Linked DNA regions of Xenopus tropicalis. The protein of the gene in region 1 interacts with the protein of each later gene in a biochemical or structural test. Links are inferred from orthologs where the notes say so. Each region holds a gene or a part of one and is shown on either strand. Other genes may lie near its edges.

Region 1 (4,315 bases):
CTTTAGCATCGAAAGAGCAGAATATTTCTCTTTAAAAACATTAAAAACTAATTTAAAAAATTAGAAAACACTCAGTGAATTAAATAAATACAGCATTTGTTATTAAAAAAGGAGGGGGGTAAAAATTTGAGGGTGATCCAAACAAATAAAAGGATAACAATTTCTGTGCAATCGCAAAGGTTCAGTGTAAAAAAAAGGGAAAAAAAAGAAGATAAAAATCGCCCAGATCAGAAATAATACTGTATAATTGCTAGAAATAAGCCACTCACCATAGCGGAAAAACTGTGAACCAACATCTGGGCAGAGTATATATACAAATTGAAGAAGAGAAATCAGAAAGAAAACGTTGATCAAAGAAGAAATGTGAAAAAAAAAATTTAGAGAAGTGGAAAAAAAATGAAAATAAAATCCCAGCTCTAGAAACTGGTCCCTACAAAATCATAAGGACCAAGGCTCTGTAGGCATAATAAGCATATATAATCCATCAGATGTGGAGGAAATTCTTCTTCATTTTGGGTTGAGAGCACAATTGCTATTCAGGGAGGGATGTTTTAGGCAAAGTTTGGATTTCTGGGTTTCCTTAATCCTTGTCCCCTAGACACTGTTCCTGGATGCAGCTCCGCAGGCTTTTCCTACTAACAGGCGCAGGCTGCCAGCCTTGCAGCCCTCATATTCATGACTATTAATATTACACCGATACTTAATAAAGGAAGAATGCTTGGAAATCGAGCGTGAACCGAAGAGGCAACTCAAGGCAGAGCCCTGTTCTAAATGACGTCCATTGAATGAAGAGGCAGTGTATCTAATCAGAGGTGGAGGGGGAGGAAGAGGAGGGAGAGACTCAGAGAGTGAGGGAGAGAGGGGGGCTGGCTGACGAATCACAAGGAAGGGGGGGACATTTTAAAGGTTGCAGGGCATGCAAAAGGGAAACAGCTCCAGAGTATGGGGATCAGCAGTGACAGGCAAGGGGGGTGAGGGGCAGATAAAAGGATTTGGCACCTGGGAATCCTGGGAATATCCTGGAAATGACATGTCCATGTCTGAGGTCCTTCTCTTGCTGCTGGGGACGGGAATGTTCTCTGTGGAGTTCAACCCTTTGCTTTTCATGTCTGTATCTGAGGGGCCCGAATCTCCTGCCCTCTGTGACTGATCCATAGCCCTATGGGCTGCAACCACAAGTGCCACAGAACAGAACCAGCTTAAAATGGCAGCCTCCAAAATTCTGCCCGGCAGCTCTCTGTATGTCCTCCTGCCCCAGATCTCAGCAGCTCTTAACCTGTGTCCTTAGTTCGTACACGAATAACCTGTACCACTGCGCTGCTTGGGGCTAAACATGTGAGACAGGGCTCCTTCCTCAGCCCAGCAAAGCCCTGTAGCTCAGTGTGAGACAAAAGAGAAATCCACCCTTGCTGCTGTGCTTGTGGGAGCATGCAGGGCCCGGAAGGGAGCAGGGCAACTCTCTTCTTTTTGTTTAGCTCTGATTTCCTGTCCCCGTTGGCAGATCCAGGGTGCAGATAGGGCGCTTTGCCTGGGAAGTAGATGCTATAGTTCGCACAGCGCAGCGGCAACGGTTCTGCCCCAGTCCGCAATAGTGAGGGGGTGAGCTGAGTCCAGCGCGGCTCGGTTCTGCCCGGCTCCGAATCTGCCTCCCTTCCGCCCGTCCCCGGCTCTCCTAGTCTCCCACTCGAAACCCGTCAGACTGGCTCTACCACTCCAGCAAACAACTCCTCCAAAATATGTCATGTTCAACTATACACAACTCCTGGCTGGCTGGGGTTAGAACAACAAGAGCCACCTACCGCCTGCATGTCCCTGTACAAATATGCACAGCTAACAAAATAAGGCTTCAAGCAGGCGCTGAAAGGGAGATTACAAGAGCCTTTGCCTAATGCACAGGGACCCTGTTCTGCCCTCTCCCTCCTGTCTGATCCTTTACCTGAGACACCAGAGCCTTTCAAAATATTCAGCTTTCAGTCCAGGTAAAACATCAGAAATCTCAGTGCTGTGCCCCTGCTGCATTGTGGCAGCTTCATGTATAACTGCGCTTAATTTAGTCTCCTAAAAATACAGATAAAAATAAAATGAAGGTACAATGAAGCACACACTAGATATATATATATATATACTTGTGTTTGTGTTTAGTGTTTTAACCAACCGCTTGGGTAATGCTAGCAAATTTGTCTGGTGTGAGTGCGACTCAGTGCCGCTGCCTGCAAGTCCTAACAAGACAGTGATCCATGCTCAGTGGCAGCCCCCACCAACATGTCCTCTGTATCAGGGTCTCTCTCAGGTGAGCTCCAATGCTGAACTCACATCCGTCACTCACACACTTTGCACTATTTGCCCTGCACTCTGCGTTCCTTGGAAAGCTACAAATCCGACCCTACCTGTTTAGAAAATTGGGGGATATACATATATACTTACTATATACACTATATATATATATATATAGTGATATAAATAACTAGTGTATAAAAAAATCACAACTATATCAATAACTAAATAATTTGTTCATTTGTCAACATATTATCCATAGGGAACAAAAGCATATACAATGTTGTTGAATGAATAAAAAGTAATATTAGAGAGACAAGTTTGGGAGTGTGTATATAAATACGTATTTCTGAATCTGAGCCATATTTACAGGGCAGTGCAAGGTTCCTGTCCGACAAGTAAAAGGGCTCAGAGAGTCAGGTACTTTAAACTCCGGCAGACCTTACAGAATAACTCTGTACACACACAAGGTAGAGATCGGAGGGGGACATATAACTGTTAGAAAAAGTGCTGCAGGGCCCTTACCTCACACTCCTCATATTTGATATTATCCGTTAGTTTCCAGAGCATTTTCATGGGTGGCTGGGAAGAGACCTTTCCAGTTCTTCCTTGTCCCTGGTCCTGTGTGCAGCAGTCCCTGTGTGTGCCTTACAGAGAGGGAGGCTGGAGCGATGCTTTTGGTGCACTCAGATCTCCCTCTAATGGTGGAAAGTTTCTTTTTTTCCCAGTACCAAGTCCTGATGTGCTCATTAGCATACAGGCAACTGCCCCACTGCTCCCAGCCTCCCAGTCAGCATAAGGGGAGCACTTTGGGATCCCATAGCCCCAATATCAGTCCCTATAACAATATATACATTCCTTTCCATACAGAAAATATCCATGTTTTTCGCACAAATCATCAATAGATTTCATATTTGCCAAGGCCGTTACATTTTATTCCTTTCCATGTGTTGCTGTTCATCAGTTCTATTTCTGTTTTTGCACACAGATACCATAGAAAAAAAGAATGGCACTGTATACATGATTTATGCCACTTGGCAATTATTTCAGGGTTATAACCTGCATAATAAAAAATATATCCCCCACTAATTTCTAGATGTAGCACTCAGAGAACCTTTTAATTGAAGGGAGATGAGGAAATGATGTTGAATCTAATGAGATGAGTTTCATTCTGACACTAGGTTGTGGGAGCAGAGCTAATTGTACTAAATCACATTACACTGGGAGAATGAGTGGCCTATTCTGGGCTGCAATGGGTTATTAGGGAGACGAGATTTGTCTGGTGTAATTATCAAAGCAGATAATGTGCTTCTTGTCTCTTCTCTCGGTATGTCAGTATGTAGTCTCTAGCTTAGCTCATAGGGGCACAGTGGGTATAATGATAAAACCCTGGGTGGTGGTAAATGAGATGAGAATAGCCATCTGACTAAAGAAGGTGTCTGGAGCCACTACTGGGGTCTAAAGCCAATGTCATGATGATTTTAGAAGTATCTACAAAACAAGACTAAGGTTCCTTCATTGTGTTCTCGCTTTAGTCTTGTATAAATAGTTGTTTTTTCTCTCATTCAGGTTGAAATTGAGCTCAGCCTTATTCCCCAGCCTATGCAGATTGACTGGCAACTTGAAAAGGGTCCATCTCCAGCCAGCGCCATGCAGGGAGGCCAGACAGACCCAGGCCCCATCGGCACGATTACCATGACCGCCCAGCTAATTGAATGTGAATATTCACCCGAGGATCAAACATTAAAGTTTAGAGGGGAGAGAGGGTGGGAGCGACCCCTTAACACTAAGCCCCCAGATCAATAGCCCTCGCATTAAATCGCCATTAACATTTTTGGGTGGAGTAGGTGCTTTCAGAACTGCTAATGATGTGAAACTCCAAAATATAGATGTATGCGGTGGTTCCTTATTGGGTACGTGCTGAACTAATTAATATAAAGTTTTATTACCGTGTGATATAAAACAAGGTAAGGAATTTTACTGTAAAATAAGCATTACAGTGTAAATATTCCATCTGCCTCTAAGCACAGGGTTAAATAAT
Region 2 (4,174 bases), on another chromosome or scaffold:
ACTTTAGTGAATCGGGCCCACAGTGTATTAAATGCTGTCATTGATCTGACCCCTGCTTAGCCATGCAGTGATATTATCGTAAAATTTGCATCTAGAATCTATTTGCATAAGAATCTAGAACATAATTGTGAATGTAACAAGGCTATAACCAAGATCAACTTATACATAGATGGAGCTGTAAGCTGCCTATCTGTATTATACAAAGTACAACATACACATCTACAGCTGTTGCTTAATTTTAAGTCTTAACACACCCTGACAAAACTTTGTCTAGCACAGGCATTACGGGAGTTGTAGCACAACAATACATTTAAAAATGCAAGATAAGCTGAATTAAAAGCAGTGCAACTTAAATGTTGCACTGCAATGCATCAGTTTAACCCTTCTAATTGCATTTTATATAAGTAATTAATTTAGGTTGTGTAAAGCCTGAAATCAGAATGTATTTTCATGTTTAATGCTACACAAATAACGCTGCCTTAAAACCAAAGATGAAAGACTCTTATGTTTAACTATGCATCAACTACCAGCAGTTCTGGATGATGCATAGTTGAGGCATAGTTGGTCACAGGGCCAAGGACAATTAAGATTGATTAGCATGACTTTGCCCATGAAGCAAGTCTCTCATTTTATGTGTGTAACATAAGACATCAAAATACCTTGATTTAAGGCTTAGTAAAACTTGATTTATTTCGGAAGGCTTTATACAACTTGATGATCGTCAGTCACATATTTATACAAGAATAAACATATACATAAAATTGCAGCATGACCACATGATTTATCCAGATGGATTTTTAGCTCTGTGAGATATAAATAAATCTTTGTCTTTCATTCTCCACTACCTAACGGCGCTCTCAAATGAAACTGTATTTTTTTCTGAGCAACGAAAAGTTAATAAATAAACCTACTGACTAGCAAATCAAGCTCAAGTGATTAAACGCACGTGTCATAAGGAAAGAGAAGCTGTAGCCGCATAGGGATAGCAGGCTCTGTTTCAGTTCCGGCTGCGCTTATCCAGGTCTTACTTATGCTTCCTCACTAGGGTTTTCCCCTCCCCCTTCTCCACTTCGCTCCTCCCTTTCGCAATCCTATATTAAACAAGCTGGGAAAAAGAAGCACAGTTCATTGTTGGCAAGTACTGATGTGTGGTGGTGGTAGAAATAGAGGAACTCTGTGCTGCAGCAATATCGTATTACAGGGTCATTTAGCAGACTACAAAAGGCAGAGTTGCTCTTCTCTCCTACATGTTGGGATCTGGCTCCTGATCCTCTGCAGTCAGCATTTTTGGAGCATTCTCAAGGGGTAAGCTTTTATTATTCTACCGTTCGGACTATTCTGCAGAGCCCTTTCTTCGTCGTCTCTACTCCCTTCTGTCTTTTTTTTTTTTTTGTTAGTGTTCGGCTTTGAGATGTAAGCCAGATGGCAGTGTCGTGCGCTATAAATAATTTAGTTTCGGTTGGTAAAATGCGTTGTTTTCGTGAGTGGCGTGCCTGTATTTTTATTTTAATCATGATTATTTTAGGATTGCATACCTTATGTATTATGGTATCCAGAAAAAGTACACGATTATTGAAATCCTGTGGAATGTGTTAAAAGTAGCTTTGTGGATGGCTTTGTGTGGATTCAGTAAGTTATCAAAGTAAGCAGTCTGTGCCGTGTTACAGCGCTGGGTAATTGGTGTGTGTATCAACATGCCACTTTGGCCGCATTTGTTAGTGGATCTGAAATCCTTTTAACAGAGGCAGACATGTTAGAGGATTGAAAAGAAACGTGCAGTAATGGGCTATTGAAAGTGTTGCATGAAAGATCCTCAAATAAACACAGCCAAGCTGCAGCCTCTAGCATATGGAGAAGGCTTGAGTATCTTTGTTTTCATTGTTGAATTCGACCGTGGCTGTTCTATTTCCAGGGCTGTATCCGATTTATTATATATTTCGGTTCTCTCGCATTTGTGTAAGAGAGTGTGTGTTTTCATCAGAGCTGTTTGTTTAAAGGCGTGTAAGGAATTTCAAGGGTTCAAGTTGCAAAGCACTGTTAAGCTGATCAGTTGACCAGATAAATGCATAGCCTCTTTTTTGTTTTGTGACAATAATCCAAAGGTGTGTGTGTGTGTGTGTGTGTGTGTGTATATATATATATATATATATATATATATATATATATATATATATATATATATATATATATATATATATATATATATATATATATATATATATATATATATATATATATATATATATATATATACTCTAATATTGGTATGTGTATAGATTTGAGCTGGCTTTTTTTTTTTTTTTTTTTGTATCAAGATGAATGATGTTTTGGTGTCATTTAAAAATGAAGCAAATCCATGGTGGGGAGAATGCATTATATTAATGCAGACCTACTGCAGTGTAATTCTTGTAATGTTGGTAACTTGAGGATTAAATGATGTCCATACAAAACCGTTTCTATCGGTATACAATACAGGAAATGAGCAGAAGTGTAGGTTAATCTGCATTAACGTGCAATGCATACATTTTCAATGTCTGCACAGTGGAAAGTAGCACTGTGTATTAAATGCTTCCATTAGTAGTAAAGCTGTTTAGGGCATGACTGTTAACAGCATAAAGGTGAAACCGCTTTGTTCAGAAAATACTTCCTTTCTGCCCTTATAATAATCGTTTGTCATTTGCCTGTTGTGTATTTTGAGGTTCATATTTTTTTTCCCTGTCCTTAGGTTTGCAATGGCAGACCACATGATGGCCATGAATCATAGCCGGTTTCAAGATGGAACTAATGGTCTTCATCACCCAGCTCATCGAATGGGGATGGGTCAATTTTCCAATCATCATCATCACCCGCAGCAACACACCTTTAACAGCCTAATGGGAGAACACATGCACTATGGACCAGGGAACATAAACGCTAACAATAGCATCAGACATGCCATTGTCACTGGGAATGTAAATGGTGGACATCCAAATGGCAGCATGGCACCAGCATCTAGATTTAACTCGCCATTTATGGGACCTGTCCCAAATCAAGGGGCTCAACTGACTGCTAGCATGCAGTTACAGAAGCTGAACAACCAATATTTTACTCACCACCCCTACCCACACAACCACTATATCCCGGAATTGCACCCTGCAAATCAGATAAATGGGACAAACCAGCATTTTAGAGACTGTAATCCAAAGCACAGCACTGGCATGCCTCCCTCAGTCAGCCACGTCCCTGCAGCTATGCTGCCTCCTAGTGTAATAGACACTGACTTTATAGATGAGGAAGTCCTAATGTCCTTGGTGATAGAAATGGGTTTGGATCGTATAAAAGAACTACCTGAGCTTTGGCTTGGACAGAACGAGTTTGATTTTATGACAGACTTTGTTTGTAAACAACAGCCTAACAGAGTAAGCTGTTAGGTGTGTATTAAGAGTATACAAAGACTTTGAACATTCCTTTATGGGCACAAAACCTTGCTTCCAGAGTCTGCTACGATCTGTACAGATTTTTTTTTCACGTTTTCTTGTCCCCAATACCACAATTTCCATAACTGAGCCTTTACTTTTTATTTAGAGTTTTGTTAAACAACCATGTTAAAACTTCCCCACCCACATGCACATCATTGTAACAACTTGATATAATACAGTTGTTGATTGCATGGGCCTTTAAAGGCAGACTTGCTGCACTAATACTGCCATGATGCTTCATTTAATCTATCATATTCTAAAGTGGCGGTTTCACAAATGTGAGCTAAACCTTGCTGGAAAAGTCCTTCTGTTTGTTTAGTTTGCCATAATTGCCCCTCCTTCCCTTTTCTAGTATAAATCCATGAGATGGGTAAGATGGTTTTTGGAACATTTCACCCAATTTTTTTTTTTTTTTTTTTTTTTAACTCTCTCAATGTTTGACACTGTGCTTAATAGTTAATTTAGTTCATGGAAATACTACTGCGTTGAAGGCTTTTTAGGAAATTTTGACAGTATTTTTGTACAAAACATTTTTGAGAATACTTGTTAATTTATTCTATTTTAATTTGCCAATATCAATAAAGAGCTTCAAAGTGCACTATTCTAGTGTGGATTAATAAGAATTCTATTGTATTATAGTTTGGTCAGTCACCCTAACGCTGAAACATTCTTTAAAAGAGAATGCAAGTCAAAATTTTAAAGCATACTGCTCAATA
Region 3 (3,653 bases), on another chromosome or scaffold:
TTTCATTTCTGCTATACATAATTGTATTTTAAATCATGAATACTGCACATTTAATCCACCTGCAGTTTTACAATGACTTGGTTTCAGAATCTACCTTGTGCTAAAACACAACAAAGGGACAATAAAGGCACCTGTTTAAACAATACATTTACAGAATTTAATTAAACATGAACAATCAGTATATTTTAATTGTTCTGAACTGCCCTGAAAATGCATAAAAGACATACAATATACATATATATGAGAAAAATTCTCATCTTACCTAGAATCTGGATACTTTGTCAAGGTGGCCAGACTGCTGGTATACATGTGCCCTCCTACATCAATATGTACCGGAGCATTGGATTTGGTAAGCTGTGCTGGAAGAGGTATTCCTTGGGCAGCCAGGGGAGAAACCGGTGAGCGGGTTAAAGACAGACGGGACATTTTGCTTCCCTCCTGGATGAGAAAGAATTAAAAGAACCTCTCATTCAGTACACGGTGGTATTATCTGATTGTGATGTGATCATAGATCTAATCAGATCATTTTTACATCTGCCTGATCCTATACTCAGCTAACAAATTATTGCCACTGCTGCAATTAAGTATATTTGCATCATTTTCTACAAAATACCAGAGGGTAGGAGGAATATGCTTATTAGCAATAAGAAACCAAGGAACGTTTTTTTCAAGGTGTCAGCCTCAAGGGGCATAAAACAAACTGCAAAATTCTAATTAAAGGTCGTGGGCTTATGTGTTAGATGTGAAATATCCCCTGACAAACGAATAACCAATTTGTGAATTGGGATTCAGGGGCTTTTGCAAGTTTGTCTCAATAACGAGACACCTCCAAATTAGTGACTTCCTCAGTACCTAAGGCATATAATATACACAAGGAGTACATTTCATATCAATCCTGTTACACTACAATCATTCTGTTTTATTCACTTCTATGCCATCAAAATATCCAATGAAAAGGAAAAAGCCACAAAAGAAAGAAAAAATCAGTTCAAATTTATTTAGTATGAATTTTCGGAAGTCACCTTTGAAATGACATTGTTAAAAGGTTTTCGTTGTGGTTATATTTCTCTGTAACGAAGCCGTTTCTTAGAAGATTGATCCAGTTCTAGTCTTTCTTGTGCATTGTTTTACTATAATTAAATGTTGTTTAAGTTCTGATGTTCTGCTTCAGCAAACCCTTTTCTGTGGTTGTAATTCTGTGCCTGATGACATGAGCAAACTTTGCAAATACACCAAGGCTTCTTTAGCCCCAGTTAAACCTCTGGTCAGAAGGTTAGGAAGTCCCACATGTGTACCAGGAGACAAGTGCTTACAAGCATCAGTCTCTATGCTCCACCTTTGTGGACATTCTCTGTGTGGAATAAACAGGCATGTGTGTCCTTCCTTCTTAGCTGAGTTTAATATAATTAGTGTCCACTGATCTCTGTGGGATCATAAGAGCCCCAAATGGATCCAGATGCTTTAAGGCAAAAGAGGATTCTGAACTGTCACTTAACTTCATTTGGGATCCTTCACTGCTGCTATAAGTTCAAAAATGCAGGCATAAAATTAATGGTTAGTCTGCTTTCTACGGTGACTACTTATTTTTCGCTCTGCACCTTGCACACCAATGTAAATGAGTTTTTAAATATCATACTGTATGAGGTAATGAAAAATTCTATTAAAAAAACGCAAAAAAACATGTTAATATTGCACTGTACCTAAGGTTCTTCTAAACTCCCAACTCTCCTAACCCTATAGAGTTCTCTCTAGTCTAAGCTTCTAACCATGTTTTTAGTTAATCATAGCTGGGGGAAAATTACATTTTTGTCACATAATTTATCTGCTCTTCAAAAAAAACTGTATTGGTTTATCCAGTATGAAATTTGAGCTTTGTAAGGGACAATAATTATCATTACTTGCAATAGTGGGTAATTAAATATGTTATTTCTTAATTATAAGCATTTTACCTTTTACACCTGGATCTTTATCAACCCAGCACTTAATGCAACCAACAGTTTCGGCTAAAATGTAACCCACCGTTTCCTAATACTGTCAGGTGCTTCAGACAGCCAGAATTGTAATGACATTATATACAGAACTATGGGCCAGAATGGGCAATCAAGATGCTAATGAATGAATGGCACCCATTCGCTAAGCACAGAGAGGAGCCGTATATTAATGTGGAGTTAAAAAGTTAACAGCCAATGAAAGAGCCAGCTTTCTTCATTACAATTACTATGCTGTAAGTTTTTCATGGGCCAACTGGCTGAAGTTTGTGTTTATTTTGCTAAAACAAGAGTATAATAAGTATGAGACATTATAATAAGGAAAAAGAAGAACAGAATAAATATATACAAATAACCTGTGTCCCATGCTTATAACTGACAAAAAGTTTGGATTATGTACTGAAATGTGGATTGTAGGGATAATTACTTAGCTGGAAACGTCATACTGCAGAACATTTCACAGACCATGAACTTTTGAAAGGTCATTAGAATCTCTAGATTCCATACTTACAATGCCCCAGTTGTTTGGATCTAGACCTCATTGAGAACATTGGAAACATCTGCATTTGTTTTTTCTTTGTTTAAAGATGCGATGGACTGATTCCAATGGGGTGCTTATTTTCATGTGCATTAGAGATGCCTTGCTAAGCTGATTCAGTTATATGCTATGCATGGTCAGGGCCAAGGTGAGGTTTTATTACAATGAAAAGTATCTGAGCTATTTTGTACAAAAGAATGAGGTACTGCCACTAAAAGTTTGAAAGCTAAATGTATTAATTCATGCTTCCATGTTGAGGGCCAGCACAACAAAATTGGTATTTTGGCTGATGGAGGTCCATACATTGGCAAAATGATGTTCATGTTCATTTCCCAAAATGGTTTTCCATGTATTAATCAGAGTTACATTATAGCAAGTATTTGGAGCTGAAATCTGATAATAAACATTATTTCACATACAATATTACAGATATGTGATGTATTATAAAGAATGCATAGGACCTACGGTTCTATGCTTAAATGGTTTTCCATAATTTAGGGCAATATTTCTAATGGTTACTATTTAAACATTAAAAAACCAAATGGGAATGTTTTGCAACCAAGGACCATTGGACTTGAGAAAATGGTATTTCTTTATTTTCTGAGCCTTTAGATAATGGGTTTCTGGATAATAGATCTCTTACTGAGATACTCTGAGGTAGGTTATGGGCTATAGATCACACAAAAATAATATATAAACATATCTAAATAATTACATAATTACATAAACAACTTACTAATTCCCTGAACAAAACTATATGCAATCATTTGGTTTTACTAGTGACCCTGTCCCTCCAGCACAAGGCATTGCGTGTCCTTCAGGCATACACTGGGTTAAGTGCAATTAAATTAGTCTGTTCTATGTAAAATAACCACTATCCTTAATTGCATGAAAAAAAATTTAAAGCACAAACAAGTATTCAGCAGCAGCCGATCCTGCCGTAGGCAAAACCAATACCGCCTGGTCCCCAAATTATGTGGAAATGTCTTTTTTTTTTTCTTTATTTCCTTTCAAGAATTACACATCAAGTTCTTTCAGAGCAAGATTGTTTCCCCCTGTCTTTATAGACCTTACTGCACAAATGCTGCTTGTAAAAGCTATTTGCCCATGTAAAGTGAAATAATCAG

What was found.
Region 2: the proteins of tfap2a (region 1) and cited2 form a complex in vitro, tested with the Homo sapiens proteins (2 studies listed by BioGRID, with this or other methods). The link is inferred for Xenopus tropicalis from reciprocal best matches to the Homo sapiens genes TFAP2A and CITED2.
Region 3: the proteins of tfap2a (region 1) and kctd15 form a complex in vitro, tested with the Homo sapiens proteins (2 studies listed by BioGRID, with this or other methods). The link is inferred for Xenopus tropicalis from reciprocal best matches to the Homo sapiens genes TFAP2A and KCTD15.

Annotation. Positions count from the first base shown.
Region 1 is NC_030682.2:90,359,801-90,364,115, forward strand, and holds the start of tfap2a (transcription factor AP-2-alpha), read right to left. Parts: upstream 2,921-4,315; 5' UTR 2,851-2,920; coding exon of another isoform or gene 2,845-2,850; coding exon 2,800-2,844; intron 1,989-2,799; exon of another isoform or gene 1,156-1,988; coding exon of another isoform or gene 1,000-1,155; intron 969-999; exon of another isoform or gene 297-968; coding exon of another isoform or gene 270-296; intron 1-269.
Region 2 is NC_030681.2:63,256,042-63,260,215, forward strand, and holds cited2 (cbp/p300-interacting transactivator 2), read left to right. Parts: upstream 1-1,305; intron 1,306-2,725; coding exon of another isoform or gene 2,726-2,732; coding exon 2,733-3,410; 3' UTR 3,411-4,054; downstream 4,055-4,174. UniProt on the Homo sapiens protein: Transcriptional coactivator of the p300/CBP-mediated transcription complex. Acts as a bridge, linking TFAP2 transcription factors and the p300/CBP transcriptional coactivator complex in order to stimulate TFAP2-mediated transcriptional activation.
Region 3 is NC_030680.2:67,909,129-67,912,781, forward strand, and holds part of kctd15 (BTB/POZ domain-containing protein kctd15), read right to left. Parts: intron 1,191-3,653; exon of another isoform or gene 1,023-1,190; intron 439-1,022; 5' UTR 427-438; coding exon 263-426; intron 1-262. UniProt on the Homo sapiens protein: During embryonic development, it is involved in neural crest formation. Inhibits AP2 transcriptional activity by interaction with its activation domain.